Caenorhabditis elegans: one gene and its partner. The protein of the gene in region 2 purifies or fractionates together with the protein of the main gene of each other region. This does not show direct contact. Each region holds a gene or a part of one and is shown on either strand. Other genes may lie near its edges.

Evidence for each region.
Region 1: the proteins of ztf-7 (region 2) and ucr-11 fractionate together in Caenorhabditis elegans (co-fractionation; one large-scale study listed by BioGRID). This does not show direct contact.

What each region holds. Positions count from the first base shown.
Region 1 is NC_003279.8:6,552,150-6,555,342, forward strand, and holds ucr-11 (Cytochrome b-c1 complex subunit 10), read right to left. Parts: upstream 1,231-3,193; 5' UTR 1,223-1,230; coding exon 1,167-1,222; intron 902-1,166; coding exon 787-901; 3' UTR 685-786; downstream 1-684. Other genes in the region: spg-20 (Inheritance of peroxisomes protein 1), read right to left, coding at 1-72, 178-302, 353-463; Dolichyl-diphosphooligosaccharide--protein glycosyltransferase subunit dad-1, read right to left, coding at 1,465-1,595, 1,930-2,140; tre-1 (Trehalase), read left to right, coding at 2,752-2,780, 2,826-2,926.
Region 2 is NC_003283.11:9,786,493-9,791,631, forward strand, and holds ztf-7 (Zinc finger protein ztf-7), read right to left. Parts: upstream 3,216-5,139; 5' UTR 3,152-3,215; coding exon 3,032-3,151; intron 2,985-3,031; coding exon 2,783-2,984; intron 2,740-2,782; coding exon 2,653-2,739; intron 2,604-2,652; coding exon 1,727-2,603; intron 1,677-1,726; coding exon 1,376-1,676; intron 1,324-1,375; coding exon 1,132-1,323; intron 1,088-1,131; coding exon 1,022-1,087; 3' UTR 501-1,021; downstream 1-500. Other genes in the region: F46B6.6 (Tr-type G domain-containing protein), read right to left, coding at 60-210, 264-333; lipl-2 (Lipase), read left to right, coding at 5,096-5,139. UniProt on the Caenorhabditis elegans protein: Probable transcription factor. Limits the ability to tolerate cold environment or cold-warm stress. In complex with rps-2, mediates the cold-warm shock response by promoting translocation of components of the RNA exosome from the nucleolus to nucleoplasm.

The DNA of each region.
Region 1 (3,193 bases), on a different chromosome or scaffold from region 2:
ACACTTTCTTCAGCTTCCTTGATTTTCTTTGGAGTTGGTTGCTTTGGTCCTTCCTTTTTCAGAACGTTGATTCTATAAACTTTTTTTTTTTTCAAATAAAAAGTCGAAAAAAATAATGTGAACTTTAAAGGTACTTTTTCGCGGTTTTATCAACGTTTTTAATTCAAAATCACTCACCTATGCTGGACACTTGATTTTGATTCTTGTAACATTTTCCACATTTCACTTTTCCTCGCATTTTTCATTTTCTCTCCTTCGACGATCAAATTCAATCCTTTTTCGTACATTGCGAGAGTATTTTCCTTAAAAAAACAATTATTTTCAAAGTTTTCATTCAAAATAATAAACATACCCAATCATTAACCTCATCGTAGCATAATCCCTGTTCAATTGATGCATATGCTCCAGAAAATACTGCATCAACCTGAGCAGTATCAGGAATTCTCATAAATATCGAGAACATTGCTGAAAATTTGACTGAAACAAGTGATTCGAATGAGAAAAAACGGCACGAGTAAAAAAACATGCAAGAGACCACACAACAACAGCGAAAACAAGTTTAGTCGTCGGCGTCTCTCTTCTGAATTACTATCTCTGCTCAGTGGCTCGCTATGAGTCACAACAATTTCGAAATCCCGGCGCTAAGCGACTGTGCATAAACTATTTTTCAACGAAAAAGAGGCCAATAATAGAAAGTTTATCCGAGCAAAAAGATTCTAGAAGATAAACATCTTCATAATTCTAAAAAAGTCAATCAACGATCGGAATAGGTGTTGAGGATTTAATCTATTCGACGTAACGCTTGTTCCAGAGTGGGATGTACTGTCCGACGGTTTTCCATTCACAGAAGTAGATGGCCAAAAGGAAAGCGGATCCTCCGTATGCTCCATACGACTTGAAGCTGGAAGAAAATCATAGAACATCCTAACCGAATCCACGTTCATTGTGAAAATGTTTAAATTATTATAAACACTCAAAACAAATAAATTGCGAGTGTTCGCAGAAGACTAGGTAATTAAACCACAGCGGGCTGCTTTTTGTATTTTACAATTTGTATTTAGATGTGAAAGATCGGAATGAAGTTAAAAACTTGTGTTTTTGCGGTGGCAAGTATTTTCAATAAACAATCTATGCTTAAACTTCTTCGTTTTTAGTATTTAACTTACTAATTAGGGTTGGTGAAGGCGTTCTTCACGAAACGAGCTGGCTTCATGTACAGCATGATTCAACCTGATTAGTTTATAATTGTTCAGCTGGATGAGAATGTGCACATCAAAAGTAATTTGCGACAATAACGCAGTTTTCTTCTTGAATACTAAAAACTTCTAATTAAAACAGAAACATATTTTATTAAATTAGGTGTAACACAGCAAGAGAAACGAAACCCCAGGTGGCATTTTGCAACACAAATAAATTAATGGAAGGAATTGAAACAAATAAATACATATTAAAGCTTTTCAGAGTTTATCCCAAGAAGTTGACGACGACAAGATGGAGAATGAGGTTTGCGAAGATGAAATCAGCAAATGCACGTTCTGTCGAGACAGCTGTGAACTCGGAGCGGTTCTCTTGATTTACTTGCATCCTGAGACACGCTAAAACAAAATATTAACGTTTAGAATTAATTGCTTAAAAATACATTTATTTATTATCAATTCATTTGAGGGCTGAAGCGGGGGCCCATTGGAATTTCCAATGTTTATGATACGATGTGAAAATTGCAGTCCATCCGAAACTCAAATGAACATACAATTTATATTTACTTTATTTCGCTTAAGTACCAAACATTTTAAATCAGCGCAAATCTATTAAGAAACCCAGAAACCCTTTTTAGGAAAACAAAGATCACCGTTTTAACCTTTTATTACTGAAAACAATACTCATGTTGCCAATATACTTGAACCCAAATTTTTTGAATAAACAACTCACATGCTAAAACGAACGAAGTGACAGTGGAGATGAAACCAGAGAGGAACGAGTTGAATGGGAATGTACCGACGAGCAAGCAATAAATGAATTGAAAGATTCCGGTGAACAGGATGTATGTCATGTAAGCATCAATGATTTTCAGCTTCGATGATGTTGTCTTTTGGTAGTCATCGAACAGTTTCGAGAGAACTGGAACTACTTGAGCCGCCATTCTGTAATTAATTTAATATCTTTGAGATACAACAGAACAATAAGATAAAATATATTAGAAAGGAGCGAAAAAACATAAATTTTGAATTAGAAAATGCAACCTAGTTATCTTGAAACATGTTCATGAAAAAATAAAATTTAAAGCATTCAGACTTTTATTTTTGCTAGTATAATAAAAGAGAAATGTCTTTCATGACCTGTATTTAACGAATATAAATGTCCCGCAAAGTATAAATCCTTTAAAAATAACAATATTAATATTTAAAAAGCTTAAAAAGAGCAACGTGGCACAACAATCAAGTAAAAAGCGGCGGGCGGCGTTTAAAGGAGCACACATTTTTGCTAGTTGTTTCGCTGCGGGACCAAAGTCCCCGCCCAATTGCAACTCTGCGGCACGCACTTTTGCAGTGGCGCCGCACACTTTCATGTTTTGTTGATTTATTTTTCATTTTGTGAGACACGAGACGTTGAGGGCACTCGGCTGACATCAGAGAAGAAAGAAGAAAAATCAACGATATTTTGCCAATTTTTCCGCCCACAAATTCGAATTAGTGTCTGACCGAATGCCTTGTCATTAACATTCTCTGTACTCTTCATCCCCTATAGGAAATTATGCTCTACACTGTAATCAACCTCCTAGCGTAAGTTTCCTTTGAAATATTCTTGAAAAATGGTTTTTTTTCTAGACAAATCTATTGCAATGGACCAATTCTTCAAACTGTACAAGATTCACACATGTTTCCAGACTCGAAGCACTTCGTCGATATGTCACTAAAATATGATCCAAGTAAGGTTTTTGGTTTTTAATGTTGTTGTTACGTAAAAATCACATAACAAAACATAAAAACAATCTATCAAAGACGCTATCTTTATCACCTGAACCGGTTTTTGCAACGGAGTTGTAAATTTGAAAGGTCTTGTTGATTGTAAATTAAATCTTTGTTAAAAGTCAGGAAAGAAGAATATTTTCAAGCAGCTGACAGACACGAGCTTCCTCAAATTCAAAGAGCAATTAGAAGTCAGAGAATCAACTACTGACCTTTAGTGTTTTGGG
Region 2 (5,139 bases):
TGCGAGGAAAATATTATTTATTGCGGCCGCATTCGACTATACATTTCGAGTTTCCTTACGAAGGATTCATTTGCTTCCAAACATCGACAGTTTGTTTTGTACTTTTCGTACTCTTCACGACGGCGGCTTCCACAAACTTTCGCCTTCCACGTTTTCCTTCAGATGCGAATTGTTGAGTTTGAATTCGCCAGAATGTTGTTGTGGTCTGAACTGCAATTTTTTCACATTTCTAACTATGTTCTACCCAATATTCATCCATTAACCTTGCGAACATCGTAAAAGTTGGCGGCTAGTCGCTGTTCGCAACAACTGTAGAATCATCGTTTTGGACATTCTGATAGTTTCATTTCAATTTCCAATCGATTCCAAGAATCTTCTTGAAGAACTCATTGTTTGAAAAGTTATTTCTCAACTCCCACAAAGTACAACCTGACGAATATCTACATTTCATTGGCACTGCCTAAATCATTTTACCATGAGAAAGCTTTATTCAGGTTAACAACGTACGAACTAAACTGACCGATTTGTACCGGGCTGTCAGAAACATACATGGGAACAGTGGATCATCGTGAAAAGGGGTCATTTAAAGGGGATATGTTAAAGTTGGGAAGGGGGCGTAGTGAATGTACTTGATCCAACTGTTCCAGATTCTCATTAAAAAAAGCATGAAAGGAGATGAGAGAAAGTTGGAAGGGGAAACTTACTTTGAAACAAGAGTACAAAAAACAACGTGCAATATTTCCCAGCATACACTAGGAAACATGGCGAGGAAAACGGAAAACAACAACAATCTAATGATTGATAGGTTGATTAATAGAAAAGATGAAGCAGTCAAAGGACCACTACTGGAATCATTTGAAAATTACAGCCGAAAAGAGAAAGATTATAATAAAGATTGTCAAAACACGAAGGATAATCAAACAAAACTAGGGAACTATTGATTGATATCCGAATGTACTATGTATAACGAATAGGTAATTGAAATTGTTCGTGCGAGCTGAGATGAGGTAGTTATGTCAAATTACATGAGAGCGTTGAGGTCATCCTCGTTGAGTTCAGATAGCTCTGGAAGGTCTTCGGCGATAACCTGAAAAGCTAATTACAGGCAAAATCTCAAAGAATATTACTTACTCCTTCAACAGTATTACTTTTGCTCTCAAGGACGAGTTTAGAGAAACGCTCCTCACTCTCTCCTTCATCGTCGCTGCTGCAAGTGATTTCGTTTTCTTCAAGGATCGATTCAAGCATCCACAGGAAGTGATCATTTCCGAAGATCGGAACTAGATTTTCCTCGGTATCCCAAATTGAAGCATCCGGAAGGTGCTGTAAGAATATTCTTTTTTGAAATCAAGTTTAAATTTTACAAAGGACTTACACTCAATGGCTTATGTTCGAGAATATGCTTTTGAAGAGCGAGAGGGTTTTCGAACTCAGTCTTCTGACAAACCCAGCAATCTGCATGATAGTTCTGCTTACGAATGTAATTGATCAAGCGAAGACGTTGGTAACTGTTCAACTTGTCATCGCTAACATTCTTCAAAAGATCAAATTCGTGAGTAGTCTTCATGTGTTCGAGGAGCGATTGAGCGTTGTCTTCGCTAGCATCACAGAGAAGGCAGACAACGCGAGTTTCATCGGCATCGAGATTGTCTTCCTGCCATTCACACCACTCATTGCTGAAAAAAAAAAATCATAAAACAACATTTATGGAAACTAAAAATCTCACTCTTCCTCTTCTTCGTCAGAATCTTGGAACGTGGGCATGGTATCTTCGAAGTCCTCGGCGAGCACGTCGAGCCATCGTTTGCCGAGTTCAAGGTAGTTGATGATGTAAAACTTGTCGTAGTAATGATTCTTTGGATTGACCTCGCGATGGTTTCTCTTACGCATATGATCCATGAGAGTGTTACGATCTGGGAAGATTTTTTCGCAGTAGATACATTCATTGCGGTGAAGCTTCTCCTTCAAATGCTCGATATACTCGGTAACGAATACCAAGTTGTCAGGAGATCCAAGGTTGAGATGGTGAATCATATATAAATGATGGATGATTTTCGAGCGATTTCCACGAGCATTGTAGCGACAGAAGATACATTGGAGCTGGAAGGAAGTATCTTCACGCTCACGTTGTTGACATTGCAATGCTTCTTCAAGTCGGCGCATAGCAAGTCGTTGTCGGAGTGAACGATCTTCAGCAACATTTTCCGACATCAGATAGTAGTAGTCGGTCTCTCCGAAGTAGGAATCGCCTTCGCTTGGCTCAATTCTTGGGAAGATCTTATCAATGCTCTCTTTTGCGAAGCGTTGACGCCAATGTTCGATGTAACGTTTCGGGTCAACAATCAAATTCATCTCAGAGACAACTATTTTGTGCTCCTTGAGAAGATGATCAGCAAACCCAGAAATTTGCTCAGGCAGGTCGAAGAATTCCAAACAGCTTACACACATAGTCGGACCTCCCCAGCGTGGAGAATATCCAACAACTGGAACAGTTCCAGACAGAGTGCGAATGCGTCCGCGAGCAACAGTCAAGCTCATCTTTTCTGGCTTCTTTGGTCGTGAATCCTCATCATCAGAATCCGAGAATGGCTCATCAAGCTCGTCTGCAATTTTTGAAAATAAAACTAGATCATGGATATTAAAAAATCATACATTCGTCACTATAATCGAGTCCTTCTCCATTGCTGGCTTGTGACATAGTTCTTGTGGAGTCGCGCGCATTCCTCTTGGCAGATTGAGCTGTAAAATACAAGTTAAATATTGCCAACGTTAAAAAACTCACAATTGGAGCTTCTTGTTCTTTTGTGATCATCGCCAGGCGATTTGGACTTGACGTTGATACCACCTTGACTGAAGCTTTTTCTGTCTGTCCAGTCCTTACGATTGGATTGATTCTTCGAGTTGCTCACACTATTTGTTCTACTGCCATTTCTGGAGTTTGAACCATCACCTTTCGTGTTTGAGCGTCTTCTTTGGCGATTGTTCTGAAAAAATCTTTTTATTAAAACTATCAAAAAGAATTATAAACTACCTTGCTTCCACCAGATGACTCGGTGTCAGCATTCTTCTTGGGGTTGGCATTGGGGCTACTTGCCACGTTTTCCTTCGAAAGATCGGGGGTGTTACCACCACCGCTTCCCGAAGTTGACATGGTGTAGCGAAGGGGCCAAATTCAAGGAGAACGTTTGTCCAATAAGGAAAACGTATACCTGGAACTTAATTATGCAACGATTTAGTTCAGATAATCAGCAAATGAAACGAAGAAAATGAGAAAACAAACAAATAGCAGATTTTTTACGTTAAATCTTAAATTTTCAGTCAAACAAAAGTTTTTGGCAGATCTATCTTAATTTTTTCAGTCAACTGACGTTGGAAAACAACAGGATTCGACGAAAAATAGAAGAAAACAACCAAAAACAAGAGAATCTGCCACTTGGCACAAAATTTAGGAGACACGACGACAATTTTCATGTGCACACCACTTAACGCGCTTCTCGTGTCACGAAGAACGCGCCAGCAAGCGACTCTGCGCATCTTGTTGGCACCCACACAAAACTATACTCTCTCGTCGATCACCTGTCCCGGTCACGTTTTCACTATGAGGGCCGTTTCAATTCAGAAATGTTTAGATGTCACGTGGTGTCTATGGACAGTTGGTAGACAACTGAAAAAGAAAAGTGCAAATAAACAATAAAATCAGAAAATAGATTTTTAAAAGTTCAGTCTAAGAATTTAAGAATATCTGATTTGACGAATATACTCCTGTCGGTTTGGAAACTTTTGTATACAGTAAATATCTAGGAAATGTTAATAAATACATCTGTTTTGCATTTCTGTTGGTCTTATCTATTTTGATCAGTTTTTAAATACAATTCATGTTCGATAAAAAATATCAAGTTAGAAAAGATAGTTCGGGAAGATATCGAAAAATTAATTGTATTCAAAATAGTAAAAATGGGAAGACAGTTAGAATTAAATTCTGATGTAAATAGGAATTTTTATGACAAGAGAAAGCAGCTAAAATAACAAAACGGGAATACGTAACTAACTCATTGACCATGCTCTCCACCTGTTCACACAAAAATATTTTTACGAAATCATGAAAGTATAATAATTGAGGACAAAACAACTTCCAATCAATACCTAGTAATTTTCAGCGAACCAAACGTAAAAGTCTACCTCACTTTGGAAGATAACCAAAACAATTGTTGTTTAAACAACGTGACAATTGATATGGTCAGTTCACGGAAACCGGAAACGTGACATTAGGTGCTAAATTTTTCATAATACACAAATCCTGGTTTATATTAAAAAATGTATTGCAAAAATCCTGGTGAGACCAATTCGAAAAAATGGCAGTACCTAGGTACGTCCCTTTAAACGGATGTGTAAAATTTTCGCGATATTACGATAGCTGGCAGCGGAAAGTATATAATCTGAAACCTTTAAATCTGAAACCTATCTGAAATCTGAAATATTTTAACACAAAAATTGATCTTTCAGATTTCCGTGAAAAAGTGTACTAATTTCAGGATCACTTTTGTTTTGATCACTTTTTTGCCAATAATTAAAAATTTCCTAAAAATTCGAACATTTTGAATTTCAAAAATGCAATACTTCGAAAATTCCAAAACACCAAAATTGTTCCGAATATTCCAAAACATAAAACCAAAATTTGGAAAAGTTTCAAAAACCAAAAAACTCATCCAGAAACCACAGTGCACAAAGAGTTTGGCGTTTGACTTTTTTCTATATTTTGGTTAAGTTAACTTGACCAAGTAAGTGAATAACATATATGTGACAGTAACTATCACCGTTGAGATTTGTGTCAAATCTTCTAAATTCAGAGAAAATCTAAATTCTCCCCAAGTACATTGTAGTCTTAAACAATTGCCTACGCACACTTTCTTTGTGAATTCCTATATGTTTGTATCAGAAACTGTGCTCATCTGATCTCCGGACTCTTTGGACAGTTTTAATGTTCGGCACACAAACATCAATTTGCTCTGATTCGTATGATAACACAATACTTCGACACGTGTTTCATATATAAAACCAGCGAAACTGTAATGATAACTGATCGTACTAGAACAAAATGTTGTTCTTGGCACAGATCACATGTCTTATATGTACATCCTT